2 linked regions of the Alligator mississippiensis genome follow. The protein of the gene in region 1 interacts with the protein of each later gene in a pairwise test. Links are inferred from orthologs where the notes say so. Each region holds a gene or a part of one and is shown in the gene's direction. Other genes may lie near its edges.

The links. The genes of interacting proteins can lie anywhere in the genome.
Region 2: the proteins of SGTA (region 1) and LAT interact in binary tests that used the Homo sapiens proteins (3 or more experiments, as listed by UniProt). The two-hybrid records come from large-scale screens. The link is inferred for Alligator mississippiensis from reciprocal best matches to the Homo sapiens genes SGTA and LAT.

What each region holds. Positions count from the first base shown.
Region 1 is NC_081839.1:2,267,478-2,274,883, reverse strand, and holds the start of SGTA (small glutamine-rich tetratricopeptide repeat-containing protein alpha), read left to right. Parts: upstream 1-4,383; 5' UTR 4,384-4,482; intron 4,483-4,949; 5' UTR 4,950-4,986; coding exon 4,987-5,086; intron 5,087-6,322; coding exon 6,323-6,426; intron 6,427-6,639; coding exon 6,640-6,724; intron 6,725-7,406. Other genes in the region: THOP1 (thimet oligopeptidase), read right to left, coding at 116-218, 897-1,004, 1,549-1,697, 3,299-3,502, 3,889-3,904. UniProt on the Homo sapiens protein: Co-chaperone that binds misfolded and hydrophobic patches-containing client proteins in the cytosol. Mediates their targeting to the endoplasmic reticulum but also regulates their sorting to the proteasome when targeting fails.
Region 2 is NC_081830.1:220,767-228,695, reverse strand, and holds the start of LAT (linker for activation of T-cells family member 1), read left to right. Parts: upstream 1-4,929; 5' UTR 4,930-5,009; intron 5,010-6,745; 5' UTR 6,746-6,749; coding exon 6,750-6,843; intron 6,844-7,009; coding exon 7,010-7,040; intron 7,041-7,132; coding exon 7,133-7,188; intron 7,189-7,262; coding exon 7,263-7,326; intron 7,327-7,501; coding exon 7,502-7,563; intron 7,564-7,914; coding exon 7,915-7,929. Other genes in the region: SPNS1 (protein spinster homolog 1), read left to right, coding at 439-691, 896-961, 1,055-1,191, 1,279-1,430, 1,516-1,582, 1,789-1,934, 2,009-2,137, 2,605-2,794 and 4 more. UniProt on the Homo sapiens protein: Required for TCR (T-cell antigen receptor)- and pre-TCR-mediated signaling, both in mature T-cells and during their development.

The sequences.
Region 1 (7,406 bases):
GGGGCTGCAGCCCAGCCCCCCCGTTTGAGTGATGCATACGCCACGGCAAGCCCTAGGCCGGGGGAAGCACGACCCCCCCAATCCTGTCCCTGTAAGTACCGAGCCTGGCCCTCACCGAGCTCCTCCTTGGAGAAGGGCAGGAAGGTGGTGTCCTCATTGAGGTTCTTATTGAAGTCGATGCAGAGCAGGCTCAGCTTCTTCTTAATGGCTTTGATTTTCTTTGCAAAAGAAGCAAGCGGAGATGAGCGTGTCAGGCAGGGGAGGCTGAGCGGTACCTCCAGCCGGGCTGGCAGTTTTGCACCCCCAGCTCCCCCATGTTTGCTGCGGGTATTTCTCCAAGCAGGATGGCACAGTGCTGGCTGCATGCAGAGCCCTCAGCCTCAGTCTGGCTCGGGTCCACCACCCCCAGCACACCTGCTGTTGGCTAGCTAGAGCAGCTGCAGGTGACCAAGGCACATCCAGCCTCAAGCTTCTCTTCTTTCTCCTTCATTTCTATTTTTAACCCACCTCGTGCCCTCTGCTGCTCGGCCCAGCCAGCTGCCGCTCAGTCCCCGACTGAGAGGACTGCCCTCACCAGCTCAGGAAACCCAAGCCAAGCCTGCTCGCCATTTCCCAGCGCCAGCCCCTGCCTGCAAGCCTTAGGTTACTGTCACTCCCAGCTGGGAGCTGCTTTCCTACCAATGCTGCTGATTAGGACTTCTCACCCCAGAACCCGTCCAGACCCTTGGAGAAGCGCAGGAAGGGAAACCTGGGGCAAATCCCCCAAGATCACTCAGTGAACTGGTGACGGAGCCAGGGATACAGGATGCCTATGCTCTGATCTAACCGCTAGACCCTGATCTTTAGCCCCATGGATGGGCCCAGGCAGCCTTAGTTTCTGGTTCTTGCCATCTCACCTCCTGCGTGTCTTCAGGGAGGTGTAAGCCATTTCTCTTGCCCAACTTAATCAGCCTCTCCAGGTATCTCTGGGCTTCAGGCCTCAGGGATGCACTTTCCACTTTCTCCTGTAAAACAAACAGCCAGGGGCATTAGGAGAGGAGGCAGCAGCGCCCTGGGACCAATGCTGGCTTGCCCACAGCCGGGGAACTGACTGGGCAAGGCCCACATACTGTCGTAACGACTGCTGACCCTGAACAAGACAGATGTCTCCTGCTAAAAGGACGAGACCTGAGAGCGGAGTCACTGACAGGTCATTTCACTTTCAAGGCACTTTGCAGATTTAAACCCACCCCCAGCTTTCAAAAGCTGGTCAGCATCACTCCCCTTACTGTGCAGATGGGGAAACTGAGGCAGAGAGCATAAGCACCTAACATTTCAAGCCACAGACGGAGTCAGAGCTGACAACAGGGCCTAGAACTGAACTCTGTCCTTCACAAGAACAACTTGATCCTGTTACCCTGATGGGGTAATTTAGTATTAAACTGGACTTAACAGAGTCACCTGGTACACAGAAGGACTCACTGGCCCCCCCAGAAGCACTCTGCAGACTTCCTAATCAGACACTAAGCCCCTCTTGCCCTGGGCACGTGTCACCCCCCTGCCACAAACCTGGAGCCAGACGATCCTCTGGTACACGTCCTGCCTCATGCTCATCTCCACGTCGAACTCCGAGAGCTTCTTGTCGGCCTCTGTGCTCGCCGTACGGATGTCTTTGCAAGGGGAGACGTGCTGGGGGAAGTCCAGCATGTTTCGGTGAACTGGAATGACAGAGCCAGGGGCTGAAGCTGTGGCAGGGCAGCTGGCCTCATCGTGATACCACACAGGCAAGGGATGCTTTGTGGAGGCAATGCAAACTGACAGCCCCGCATGCTGACAAATGAGCCAAGTAGTGGACGGCAAGCGATCCCACCAACCTGCCTCACTTCTGACCTGACAGGACCTCCCTCTCCCACAGCCTGCTCCATCCCCGGTCTCTACAGTGATCCACTGGGATCGGTGCAAGTTCCTTGGGGCAGGATTCTTGCTGTCTTACTGGTCTGAAATGCATCTCACATCCTTCTGGCTCTGTGGAAATTCATAGATTTATAGATTTTAAGGCTGGAAGGGACCTCGCAAGATCATCAGGTCCAGCCCACCCGCACTAGGCAGAAAAGACACCTGGGGCAGGTGACCCCAGCAAGGTGACCGTCCAGTTTCCTCTTAAAGATTTCCAGGGTAGGTGACTGCACCACGTCTGAAGGGAGTTTATTCCAGTCCAGACACCCTGACTGTGAAGAAGTTTTTCCTAATGTTAAGCCTGAAACGGTCTTCCAAGAGTTTGCGGCCACTGCTCCCGGTTTTCCCCAAGGGTGCCCCGGTAAGCAGCTGTTCGTTGAGCCCTTGATGTATTCCCCTGATGTGGCGGTCAGCTGCTACCAAGTCCCCTCTCAGCCTGCTCTTTTTTAGGCTGAAGAGACCCAAGTCCCTCAGCTTTTCCTCGTATGGCTTGCCCTGCAAAAGTCCCTGATCATACGGGTGGGTGCTTCTCTCAAGCTTTTGCACATCCTTGTTGAAGTGCGGTGCCCAGAACTGGACACAGTCCTCCAGCTGCAATCTCACCAATGCTGAGCAGAGCGGAAGAATCACTTCCTTGGTTTTGCTGGAGATGCATCGGTTGCTGCATGCCAGGGTACTGTTAGCCCTGCTGGCTACAGCTCATGGTCATGCTGTGGTCTATTATTGTCCCTGTGTCCCTTTCGTTCGTGGTGCTGGTCAGTTTGGCACCACCGAGCCTGTAAGTTGGGGACTGTTCATCCCCAGGTGGAGCACTTTACACTGCTCAATGCTGAACTTCATCTGGTTCCGACCCGCCCAATTTGCCAACCTGTCTAGACAACTGCTCAGCATTTCAGATCCTACAAGGGGAAGGCAAAGTCTGCGTGGTTTATCCACCCTGACATGCCGAGATTGAGCAGGCATTTTGCTGACATCTGCTGCATTTGTAAGCCTGGTGCAATTATTCTGCACCACATAAGCCCTAGCTCCTAAAAACAAATATGTAGGTTAAAATCGAAAAGGGGCTCAGATAGCCATGTGGTCAGGTGTCAGCTCGTAGGAGCTGGGGGTAGAAAGGGCCTTTTATCCCAGAGGCAAAGAGGTTTTGCTGCCAGGAAGCTTTTCATGACAATCTCCCACGTTTCCTACCCTCTCCCCTAGTTGGAGCCCCCAGATACAAAGGCTAACGAGAGGAAATGCAGAGCAAGGCTGCAGCGGTTAACGACGACAGGAAGAGACGATTCCACAGACCAAAGACCTGAACCGTCATCCAGCTCCTCACGAGAGCTGCCGAGATTCAGCCGCGCCCTGTGCCTCCGCGTACCCGTATACTCCACCTCCACGTCAGCCAGGGCCTTGAGGGTGTTCTCGTAGGAGACCTCGCCCTGCTCCTGCGCGCCCACGCGGTCGTACACCTGCTTGGTCCTTTCCACGAGCTCCACGGTCGTGCTCTCGATCTGCTCGGCCGTCAGGTTCCATCGCAGCCGGTTGGCGACGGGGCGGGGGGGCTGGCTGTGCACGACGCTGCCTGGGACGGCCGCGCGCGCCGCGTCACCGACGGGGGGAGTCACCAGCAAATCTCCCACCCCCCTTTTGCCCCCCCCACTGGCTCCCACCCTTCCCCCTTTGCCCCCCCACTGCTTCCCACCCCCCCTTTTGCCCCCCCACTGGTTCCCATCCCCCCCTTTACCCCCCCCCACGGGCTCCCACCCTTCCCCTTTTTGCCCCCCCCCGGTTCCCACCCCCCTTTTGCCCCCCCATTGGTTCCCATCCCCCCCTTTACCCTCCCCACGGGCTCCCACCCTTCCCCTTTTTGCCCCCCCACTGGTTCCCAGCCCCCCCGCACTGGTTCCCATGCCCCCTTTTGCCCCCCCAGCGGATCCCACCCCCCTTGCCCCCCCGCCCCGGCGGTACCTGTGGGGGGGGCCATGCCGGGGGGGGAACTACTGCTGCCGTGCAGGCGGCTCCCCGCTCACAGGGACATGTGTCCCCAGCCTCAACCACAGAGAGGAGGAGGTGGAGCAGGCAGGGAGGATTCTGGGATGTTGGAGGACTGGCGCTGGGGGGCGAGGTAGACCTCTCTCCCCTCAGATGTGGGGGAAGGGCTGGGGAGGTGCAATAGCATAACCCCCCCACCCCCTCCAAGCCAGGGCAGGGGCCCGATCCTGGCTCGTATTGGACATGCGCTGGGTGGGGGGGGCCTCCAGGAAGTATGATCCCCCCAGAGTGGGGAGCCAGCCACGTCTCTATGGTACACAAGGCGAGACACCGCCTCGCCTCGCCTCGCCTCGCCTCCCACAATGCCTCGCTAGCAGCACTTCCGCCCCCTGTAACCTCACTTCCCCTTCCGCCAGGGAAGAGGACGGCACGCAGGCGCAGAGGCGGCGCGGGCGCCCCAGCGCCTGCGCAGTGCGGCGGAGGCCGAGGGGGCGGGGTCGGCCGGGTCGCCGTGCGCCTGCGCAGTGCGCTGCGGGCTCTGCCGGGGCGAGCGCAGCTCGGAGGCGGCTGGTGAGAGGGGCGGGGCTGACCCCCCGCAGGGGGCGCCCGGGGGGGCGCGTGTCCCCTCTCCCGGGGGGGGGCTGTGCTGCGGGCACGTGTGTGCGTGCGTGTGCACACGTGCGTGTCTGTACACGTGTGCATCTGCGTGTGTGCACATGTGTGCGCCTGCATGCACCTGAGCCTGTGTGTGCATGCCTGCCCACACGTGTGTGCCTGCTCCGAGCCTCTTGGGGTGCTCCAGAGGCCCTTGGGTGTGAGCGGGGAGTCGTGCAAAAGCTAGAATAACCGGAGCGCGTGTGGGGTCGCGAGCACAGCTCCGCTGCCGAGTTTCGGCTCAGCCCGTCCCGCAGCGCAGAGGGGTCGCGCTGCGTGGGGTCCGGTCTAGCCACAGCGTCCAGCCTTCGGTGCCCGGCCCTCCCCCGTCGGGGAGCCTCGCTGTTTTGCCTTGTACTGATCGCACCCTCCCCCGGCCGCAGACACTTGTTCGGGGCAGTCGGAGAGCAGCCGTGCAGCATGGCGGACAGAAAGCGCCTGGCCTACTCCATCATCCAGTTTCTACACGACCAGCTGCAGAACGGGGGGCTGTCCCCCGACGCCCAGGAGAGCTTGGAAGGTAGGCGGCTGCGTGCCCCGCCCTGCCCCGCCCCTGCCTCCCTCCCGAGCTGGGCTGCCCGGGCCGGGGCTCAGCATCGCCGATGGGCTTCTTGCTTGGTTGTGCAACTCCCTTCTGGCCTAGTACTGATGCTTTCCTAATAACCATTCATAGATGTTAGGTCGGAAGGGACCTCAATAGATCATCGAGTCCGACCCCCTGCATAAGCAGGAAAGAGTGCTGGGTCTAGATGACCCCAGCTAGATACTCATCTAACCTCCTCTTGAAGACCCCCAGGGTAGGGGAGAGCACCACCTCCCTTGGGAGCCCGTTCCAGACCTTGGCCACTCGAACTGGGAAGAAGTTCTTCCTAATGTCTAGTCTAAATCTGCTCTCTGCTAGCTTGTGGCCATTGTTTCTTGTAACCCCCGGGGGCGCCTTGGTGAATAAATCCTCACCAATTCCCTTCTGTGCCCCCGTGATGAACTTATAGGCAGCCACAAGGTCGCCTCTCAACCTTCTCTTGCGGAGGCTGAAAAGGTCCAGTTTCTCGAGTCTCTCGTTGTAGGACTTGGTCTGCAGGCCCTTAACCATATGAGTGGCCCTTCTCTGGACCCTCTCCAGGTTATCCGCATCCCTCTTGAAGTGTGGTGCCCAGAACTGCACGCAGTACTCCAACTGCGGTCTGACCAGCGCCCAATAGAGGGGAAGTATCACCTCCCTGGACCTATTCGTCATGCATCTGCTGATGCACGATAAAGTGCCATTGGCTTTTCTGATGGCTTCGTCACACTGCCGGCTCATGTTCATCTTGGAGTCCACTAGGACTCCCAGATCCCTTTCCACCTCTGTGCCACCCAGCAGGTCATTCCCTAGGCAGTAGGTGTGCTGGACATTTTTCCTCCCTAGGTGTAGCACTTTGCATTTCTCCTTGTTGAATTGCATTCTGTTGTTTTCCGCCCACATGTCCAACCCGTCCAGGTCTGCTTGTTCTGCGTGAACCCTTGCAGCTCTTGGTGTGTCACAGGGAGAAGAGCAGCTTTCCAAACCACTAGCTAGGGGAGCAGCCAAAAAATATCACCACATCCTGAGCTCACTCTGACCAGCACCGGCTGGCTAGTAGTCATCCTTTAGCAGCAGGACTGGGATTTTTCCCATCGGCATCCTGAGTCCAGACTCCAGGGTAGCGGAGCGGGGTTGAAACACGGCTCTAGAAGGCAAGAGGAAATCTAAGTGTCCCCCTCTTTCCCCACCCAGTTGCAATCCAGTGCCTGGAGACGGCGTATGGTGTGTCCATGGAAGATCAAGGGCTGGCCGTGTCTCAGACCCTCCCTGAGATCTTTGAATTTGCTACAGGACGGGTGAGTGTCCTGCGGGGTAGAGCTGTGGATTCAGGATTGCTGTGAGAAATGCACGTGTGGCTCGGTTTCGAGGCTGCACTGTCCCTGTGGGGGAGTTGGTGCTGGCAGCGTTTCGCTCTGAAGGACCCAGCCTTGCAGGGGATTGTAGCGCTGGTTTGTAGCAGATGCTGGTGACACTAAATTATGCCTTTCTCTCCCCTTGGTGTTTACTAGGAGTCTCAAGACAGCAGGACGAGCTCCGAGCCGGTCACCCCTTCCGAAGAGGATGTCACCGAAGCTGAACGTCTGAAGACTGAAGGTCGCTTCCTTGAGGGAACTGCGCGGGCTGAGCTGAGCTGAGCATGGGTGTGGGTGACAGAGGGGTGTGTGCAGAGTGGAGGGAGGACTCCCCTCACAAGGGGTCAGGGTGTGCTGTGCTGGAGCGGGCGCTTCCCCCTGTTCTGCACAGTTCCTTCTGAACCGGGGTGTGGAAACTAGGCGCCACGATGCTTGCCAGCCCTGAAGAACCGAAGGGCCAGGTCTAAGCCAGTGAGGGTACCACAGCTGGTAGGATGTCGCTGCCCTGGTCACGGTCCTGTTGGGAGCCTGCTGGGTTTGCCTGAGCTGTAGCTATAATCTGGAAGAGTGTTGGGCACATTGTTACCTTCTCCTGGTGCATAGTTTGCTTCCTGTGTGGCTCCACTTCCCAGCAGAATGGGCCCTGAATGGAAACGCTGCCCGTTCTCTGACAGCCTGGCTTGATGGGTCTGTGGCTGGGGGGGAGCAAGAAAAGCGGCAGTGAGAAGCCTCGATGGTGCCTTCAAAATGGGGAAGTAGAATCCATGTGCGAACTGGCAGGTTCCCTTCTGACATGGCTGTCGGTAGCTTAGAAGCACCGTCATACCAGGACCAGCACGGTTTCCACAACAGACGTATCCGTGCTGTGTGTGAACACATCTCCTGCTCACTCATGTTCTAAGGCACTGGCAAAAGGCCAGAGT
Region 2 (7,929 bases), on another chromosome or scaffold:
TGGTGACGTGAGACGGGAGTGCGGTGGAGGGGGTATCCCCCATGGCTGCCATGGTGACCGAGGGAGCAGGTGGGTGACGCGAGGCGGGGAAATCCCTGCGGTTGCCATAGGGATCGGAGGGGGAAGGGGCGGAGCCGGGCGTGACGTCGCAGCCGTTGCCGGGTCAGGTGACGTGGGCGGTGACGGGGCGGGAGGCTGCCGCAGGGTCACGTGAGTTGGCGGGGTTCGGGGAGCGCTGCGTCACCGCGGGGGGGTCACGTGGGCTCTTGGGGTGCGAGGGGGCGACGGGGGCGCTTCCGGGTCACGTGGCGGCGCTGCCGTCACGTGAGGTGTTGGGGGAGCCTGGGGTCACGTGAGGTCGGGGAAATCTGTGGGTCACGTGAGGGCGCGGGCACTGCTCCTCAGGCCCCAGCCGCGCTTGTGCCCCCTCCCCCCGCCATGGCGGCGCGGCGCAGCCCCCACCCCGACAGCGCGCCCTTCCTGAGCCGGGCCGACCGCACGGAGGAGGACGAGGAAGAGGACGAGGGGCTGGAGGAGGAGGAGCAGGACGAGGGGGGCGGCGGGCCGGCCCCCCTGGGCGAGGCAGAGACGGCGGCCATCACCGGGGTGTCGGGGCGCCGGGCCCGGCTCATGGTGGCGGTGCTCTGCTACGTCAACCTGCTCAACTACATGGACCGGTTCACCGTGGCCGGTACGGCGCGCCGGGGCCACACGTGCTGGCGGGGCTGGGTACGCGGAGGGCGGCCTCGCGAGGACAAGGCTTCGGGGAGTCGGGGCAGCTCGGCGTGCCCCGAGCGAACGCTGCTCGAAGAGCCGTGCGGGGCGCAGGAGGGCGAAGGGCCCCGGGGCGGCGCGGGCCGGCGCTGCCCGTCTCACCCCCCGCTTCTGCCCGCAGGCGTCCTGCCCGAGATCGAGGCCTACTTCGGCATCGGGGACGGCAGCTCCGGGCTCCTCCAGACTGGTGAGGGCGGGGGCAGCCCGACTCGCGAGGCGGGGGCAGGGCAGGGCAGGGCTGCGCCCCTCCCGCGCCCGCTCACACCCCCGCGCCCCGCAGTGTTCATCAGCAGCTACATGGTGCTGGCGCCGTTGTTCGGGTTCCTGGGGGACCGCAGCTCCCGCCGCCTCCTGCTCTGCGTGGGCATCGCCCTCTGGTCGACTGTCACCCTTGCCAGCAGCTTTGTGCCCCGGCAGGTTGGTGCAGGGGGGCACCCGCTTTCGGGGAGTACGGGTGGGATGTACCCCCCAGCACTGACTGTGCCCGCCCCTGCGTCTTCCCAGCACTTCTGGCTGCTGCTGCTGACACGGGGGCTGGTGGGGGTGGGGGAGGCAAGCTACTCCACCGTGGCCCCCACCATCATCGCCGACCTCTTCGTGGGCGACCGCCGCAGCCGCATGCTCGGGTTCTTCTACTTCGCCATCCCTGTGGGCAGGTCAGGCAGGGGCCTGGCTGGGACAGGGTGGGGGCGGGGGCACCGTGGGGCTGTCACTGACCCCCCCTGCCTCCTTCCACTGCAGCGGCCTAGGCTACATGGCAGGCTCCAAGGTGAAGGATGTCATGCACGACTGGCACTGGGCGCTTAGGGTGAGCTGGGGCGGTGCGGAGGCAGCGTTGTACCCTCTCCCCCTGGCATGAAGCAAGGGTGGGGCAGCCCTAGGGGTGAGATTTATGCTGCAGGGGGTGGGGCCTGGGTGTTAGGAGCAGGGCCTAAGACTAGTGGGAGGAGCAAAGGCCCATCAGGGCAGGGTAGGCGGGGCCTCAGGCCTGACCCCACCCCCTCCCTCCCACAGGTGACCCCTGGGCTGGGAGTGGTGGCAGTGGTGCTGCTGCTGCTGGTGATGAAGGAGCCGCCACGGGGGGCCGTGGAGCGCCACGGCCCCCCCTCCCCACTCCACTACACCTCCTGGTGTGACGACGTGCGAGCCCTGGCACGCAAGTGAGTGTGTGGCTGGGGGAGGGCCCGGGGTGGTGGGGGCTGGAGCTGGGTCTTACTACCCCCGTGTGTTTCAGCCGGAGCTTCGTGCTGTCCTCGCTGGGCTTCACGGCTGTGGCCTTCGTGACAGGGGCCCTGGCGCTCTGGGCCCCAGCCTTCCTGCAGCGTGCCCGGCTGGCTGCCGGCGCACCGCCCGCTGACGACAGGTCAGGCACTGACCCCTGGTGTGTGTGCGAGGAGCCTGGGCTGTGGTCTGTGCTTTCCTGGCACATGTGCAGCGCTTGGTTTGTGTGCTGGTGTGTGGGAGATGTTTGAGCTTTGACCTCTGACTTTTAACTCTGTGTGTGACGTGTGTCCTGTGACCTCCGGCCTGCCTGTGAGCTGCCTGATCTCTGATGTTGGCCCCTTTGCATGTGTGCAAGGTGCCCAACGCGTGATCTTGTTTTTTGCCATGTGTGAAGAGCCTTTGTCGTGCATGTAAAGTTCATGAACTTTGATCTTTGATGTCTGTGCGAGGTGCTTGGTTTCTGACCCATGGCACCTTTACAGTGCCAGAGCTTAAACCCGTGACCCCTGGCTGTGTGTGTGTGTGTGTGTGTGTGTGTGTGAGTGTGAGATGCTTGTTATGTGCCTCTGGGCCCGACGCCCCCTGACCCATGCCCTGTGCCTGCAGCCTAGTGTTCGGGGCAGTGACCTGCGTGACGGGGGTGCTGGGCGTGGGGGCAGGCGTGGAGCTGTCACGTCGGCTGCGGCTCCGCTCTTCCCGCGCCGACCCCCTGGTGTGTGCCATTGGGCTGCTAGGCGCTGCACCCTGCCTCTTCCTGGCTGTGGCCCTGGCCCGTGCCAGCATCCCTGTCACTTACGTGAGTCGGGGCCGCCGGGCTGGTGTGGGAGTACAGGGAGGGTGGGCCAGGGCCCGGCCGGGTGTTGGGGGCTGTGCCCAGGGTCACAGGTTCACCACCCCTTGCTGCCTAGGTGTTCATCTTCATTGGGGAGACGCTGCTGTCCCTGAACTGGGCCCTCGTTGCTGACATCCTCCTGGTGAGTGGGGGCTGAGGGGGACCCAGGTGCCTGGGCTGAGGGGAGGGGTAGCACCAGGTGGAACCCAGGCATCTGGGACCTCAACACCCCCCACCCTCCCTTCTAAACCAGCAAACTCGGGAGAGAACCCAGGCGTCCGGCCACCCAGTGCCTGATTCCCCCTGGCTGGGCTGTGGTGGGGGCGAGGGGTCAGATCCCAGGGCTGCCCCCGACCTCTAACCTGTGGTCTGACCCTGGCAGTATGTGGTGGTGCCAACGCGGCGGTCGACGGCCGAGGCACTGCAGATCGTCATGTCCCACCTGCTGGGAGATGCTGGGAGCCCCTACCTCGTCGGGGTGGTGAGATACCACCCCCCCCCCCCAACATGGGGGCCAGGCAGGGAGCCTGGATGCCTGGGTTTCCTGGGAGGGGAGTGAGGGCTAGGGGCTGGGCATGGGGGGCCGGGACACCTGGGATCCGTGGGCAGGGCGTGAGGGCTGGGAACCAGGATGCTGCTGTTCCCTGCGGGTGCCCAGATGCCTGGTCCCAGCCGTGTGCCCCCCACAGATGAGTGACGCGGTGCGCCGGCACCGGCCCCCCACCCCACTGTGGGCCTTCCGCAGCCTGGGCTATGCGCTGACGCTCTGTGCCTTCGTGGGAGCCCTCGGAGGCGGCTTCTTCCTCGCCACCGCCCTCGTGCTGCCTGCTGACCGGCGCCGTGCCCACCTGCAGGCACAGGGTGAGTCTGCCCCACTGTCCCCCGGCCCAGTACGGCCCCCATGACCAACAGACCCCAGCACAGCACAGCCATCAGATCTTTCCAGACTCGAGCACGGCCCTCGGGCCAACGCAGGCCCCTAAGACCTAGCACAGTCTCTGAGCCTCTCCTAGATGCCAGCATGACTCCCAGACCAACATGGCCCCCACGACCCTCTGAGCCCCAGCACGGCCCTGTGGACCCTCACAGCCCTCCGCAGGCTCAGCACAGCCCCAGTGTAGCACCCTGAGACCACCCCCAGCCCTGCTCGGAGCTGCCGGGATGGTCCGGGGACGCAGGCGTTGGGCTTCCCACTCCCCTGGCTTGCACCTACCGGAGGGAACGCAGGCGTCCGGGCTCCCAGCCCCGACCCATTTGCTCCCAGGTGTCTGGGCCTCTAGTGTCTCTGCTTCCACCTGCCCTGGGGCTCTTACTTGCTCACTTGTTTGCACCCTAGGCTGGGTGTGGGACAAAGAGCCCAGACATCTGGCTCCTCTCTGCCCCCACCCGCTATTAACCTTTCTCTGCCTCTCTCCCCACTGCAGGGCTGCTGGCGGAGGCTGGGGGGAGCCCCGGAGCAGCGTCCGAGCGCATTGTAGTGCCGCGGGGGGGGCGCGCAGCCCAGCTGCCTGTCTCCAGCGTCCTCATTTGAGCCCCTCAGACCCCGGAGCTGCGCCCGGGGCACAGGGACCAGAGCGCCCCCAGAGCCATGCAAGGGCGGGACACAACCGTAGCCACGCAGCCGGGATGGAAGCTGCCCCCCCCGCGCAGAAGGGACAGGAGAGAGTGGCTGTTCCCTGCGCCCATGGCCGCAAATGGATGGACAGATGGATGGACGGACAAGGGGTTTTACCCCTGCAGGGCCAGACTGGGGCGTGACCAGTGCCAGCCCCCAGCCAGCACAGCCTGCCCCGCCGGGGGATTGGGGTGCCAGGCTTCCCTGCAGTGGTGGCGGGGCTCAGGCTGTGCCTTCCCAGGTGGGGGGGGTCTAGTTGCCCTATTGCAGTGTGGGAAGCCATCCCCATACCGCTGTCTTTGCACCTCATTAAAGGCTTCCTAATGGGTCCCAGGTGTGGTCTGTGTTGGGGGCCTGGGAGCCCGGACGCCTGGCTTCTCTGGGCAGGGGTGTGCGTGCCCCCGCCTGCAGTGAACAACTTCCTGCCCAGCCTCAGTCTCCCGCCGCAGCTTCCTGTGCTGCGGGGGAGGGGCAGGATGGGGGGCGGGGGGAGGGGAGTGGGGGGGGCAGGCAGAGCCTCGCGGCAGCCAGGCTGCACTGACGGAGCCACCGCGCCGGCCCCAGGTAGGTCCCAGGGCGGGGGGACCCTGAAACCATGGCCCTTCAGGCCGGCCCAGTGGGCAGGAAGCCAGTGGTGGCGTATGTCCTGCCCCCACGCTGGCTGGACGTGCGGATGTGGCCACGTGCCTCAGGGCGAGGGCGTGGGGGCGGGGACAGCCCCCGGACACCTGGGCTCCTAACCATTTTGGGGGGTGTCCCTGCCCCATGGTCGTGCCCCTCACTCCTGACCTGCAACCCCCTTTGTTGCTCCAACATGCTCCTCACGTGCACCCCCCCCATTTTCCCCCTGGTGGTGTCCCTCCCCATGCACGAGCCCGCTGTGTGCCACAGCAGTGCCCCTCACTCCTGCCCCACAGCACCCCGTCCGACCCACGGCCCCCTCTCATTGCCCCGTGGCGGCGCCCCTCGCTCCTGGTCTGCAGCCCCACCCCGTCACCTCCTCCGGCAGTTCCCTGCCTGACTCCTCTCCCCGTCGCTCCCTGGCAGTGCCCCTCTTGCCCCCTCTTGCCACGGTGCCCCTCACTCCTGACTGGCAGCACCCCTGTCAGCCCAGGGCGGTGCCCCTCACTCTGCACCCGCGCCGCCCCGTCCCCTTGGCCGCATCCCCAGTGCGGTTTGTGGTCGTTACCCTTGGCTGCTCAGCTGGATCGGGCGGGCTGGGGCGCCTGGGTTCTGGGGGGAGCAGGGCGCCCCGAGGGGCTTGTCAGCCTGCGCGCCAGTACTGTGCCCCCCCTCCATTTCCCCAGCTCAGCCGGGCTGGGCTGGGCCCCGCGGGGGGAAGGGCTGCAGCTGCTTTGCTGCGCCCGGGTCCCGCGTGCAAACCGCAGCGCTGAGACGGAGCCGAGACGCCCACAGCACCTGCCCCCCCACGAGTCAGTGCCGCACTCCTCCCCTGCTGGAGAACCCAGCTCTCAGCCCACCCCCGGTCCTGGTCCCACCTTACGAGGCCTGGTGCCTGGCTCCTACGAGCTTTAATCTCCTGGGGCGGTAAGAGCCCAGGGGTCTGAGCGCCAACCCTGCCCCTTCCTGAGCCAGCAAAGCTGGAGGAGACCCCAGGCGGCCGGGCGCCCCAGGCCTCCACGTTTGAACCTAAAAGGCCTGGAGGAGAACCCAGGTGCTACTTGCTGTCACCCACCGGGCCCCCAACCTCCCCTCCTCTGAGCCAGCTCCGGCCCCGTGTACAGCGGCCTGCCGGGCCTGCTCTCCTGGTGCTGGGGAGACCCCAGGCATCTGGGCTTCCCTGCCAGGTTGCTCCCCTCCCGGTCTTCGGTGGCACTCAGGCATCTGGGTGGCACCTACGTGGCCTGCCTGGGGAAGAGCCCAGGCCACCATGTGCTTTAACCCACCTGGCCTGGGAGTGAACCCGAGCATCCGGGCTCCCAACCCCCCCCACCCCCGTTTGAAGCCAGCAAACGCGGAAGTGAATCCAGGCGTCCGGGCCTTGTACTGGGTCGAACCCAGGCGCCCGGGCCCCCTGCTCGAACCCCTCGGACCCTGATCCCCTTCCTGGAGCAGGTAGAGACCCCAGGCGGCCCGGCTCTTCTGCTCTAAGCCCCTGGACCCTACTCCCCTTCCCGGAGCGTGGGGAACCCACGCGTCCGAGCCCCGCGCTCTCAGGGCTGGGTGGGCCCCAGGCTCCCCCGCCCCCGCTGTATGGCACTGGATCCCCGGTTGCACATGGAGAGCCCAGGTGTCCGGGTGCGGCAGGGGGTCCCTGACACCTGGTCCCCACCGTGCAGGAGGATGGAGCCGGCGTTGCTGGCGCTCGGGGTCCTGGCGCTGCTGCCCCCTGTGGCTGCCCTGCTCTGCGCCCACTGTCCGCGGCGGTCCCCACGTGGTGAGTGCCTGACCCCCCCGCGGCTCCCACCCCGAGCTGGGCGCAGAACCCCGGCATCCATTGTGCTAGGCAGAGGACCCAGGTGTGCGGGCTCTCCTTCTCTGAGGCTGGGTGGAGGGGCCCCCAGGCTGCCCTGAACGCCACCCCCAATTTCCCCTCCCCTCAGGTCCAGAGGCCATTGGTGACTACGAGTACAAGTGAGTCTGTCTGTCCACATCTGACTGTGCAGGTTTAGGGGGGTGGGGGGCTGTACTGGGGGGGGTCTTACGGTGTCTCCCCCTCCCTGCAGGCCCCCAGCCCCCTGCGCCCCCCAGAACAGCTTCATCCTGCTGAGCCGCAGCAGCTGTGAGTAACGCTCAGCCCCTGCTCCCCCCCCCCACTCCCCAGACACCTCTCCTCACCCCTTGCCCCCCCCCCAGGTGCCCCCCGCAACCAGATCCGCCAGCAGCCCGTCACCCCCACGGAGCAGTTCCTCTCCATCCCGTAAGTGGCCTTGAGTGCCGCCCCCCCCCAACCTGCCAGCGGGCCCTCCACGGGGCTGCCCACCTCCCTCCTGCTTCGGGGGTTGACCCCTCGAGGGTCCCCAGGCTGGGGCGGGGGTGCTGTGGCCTTTGGGGGCCCTGTGCTCTGTGCATCACCGGCCCCTCCTGCCCCCCAGGCGCTCGCCTCAGGCCCCTCCAAGCCGCACGGCGTCAGTGGCCCGACCTGAACCCGACAATGGTGAGTGCCGCTCCCCCCCACTGGGTCACCTGGGCCAGAGAGGCGGACAGGGTGCAGGGATGGGAGCTAACCCCAGGGGAAGGGGCCGGATAGATGGACACGGGGAGGCAGGTAACTGGAGCTGCCCTGGGGTTGAGGGCTGGACAGATGGACGTGGGCAGGGGCACAACTGGGCTCACCCTGGGATGGAGGAGCAGACAGGCGGGTAGGGGGATAATTGGAGTTGCCCCGCGGTACGGGGTGGGACAGACGAATGTGGCGGGGTGGCGGCACAACTGGGTTCACCCTGGGATGAAGGAGCAGAGAGGCGGATGTGGGCACCCCTGACCGCCTGCCTCTGCTCCCCTCCAGACAGTGTGCCCAGCT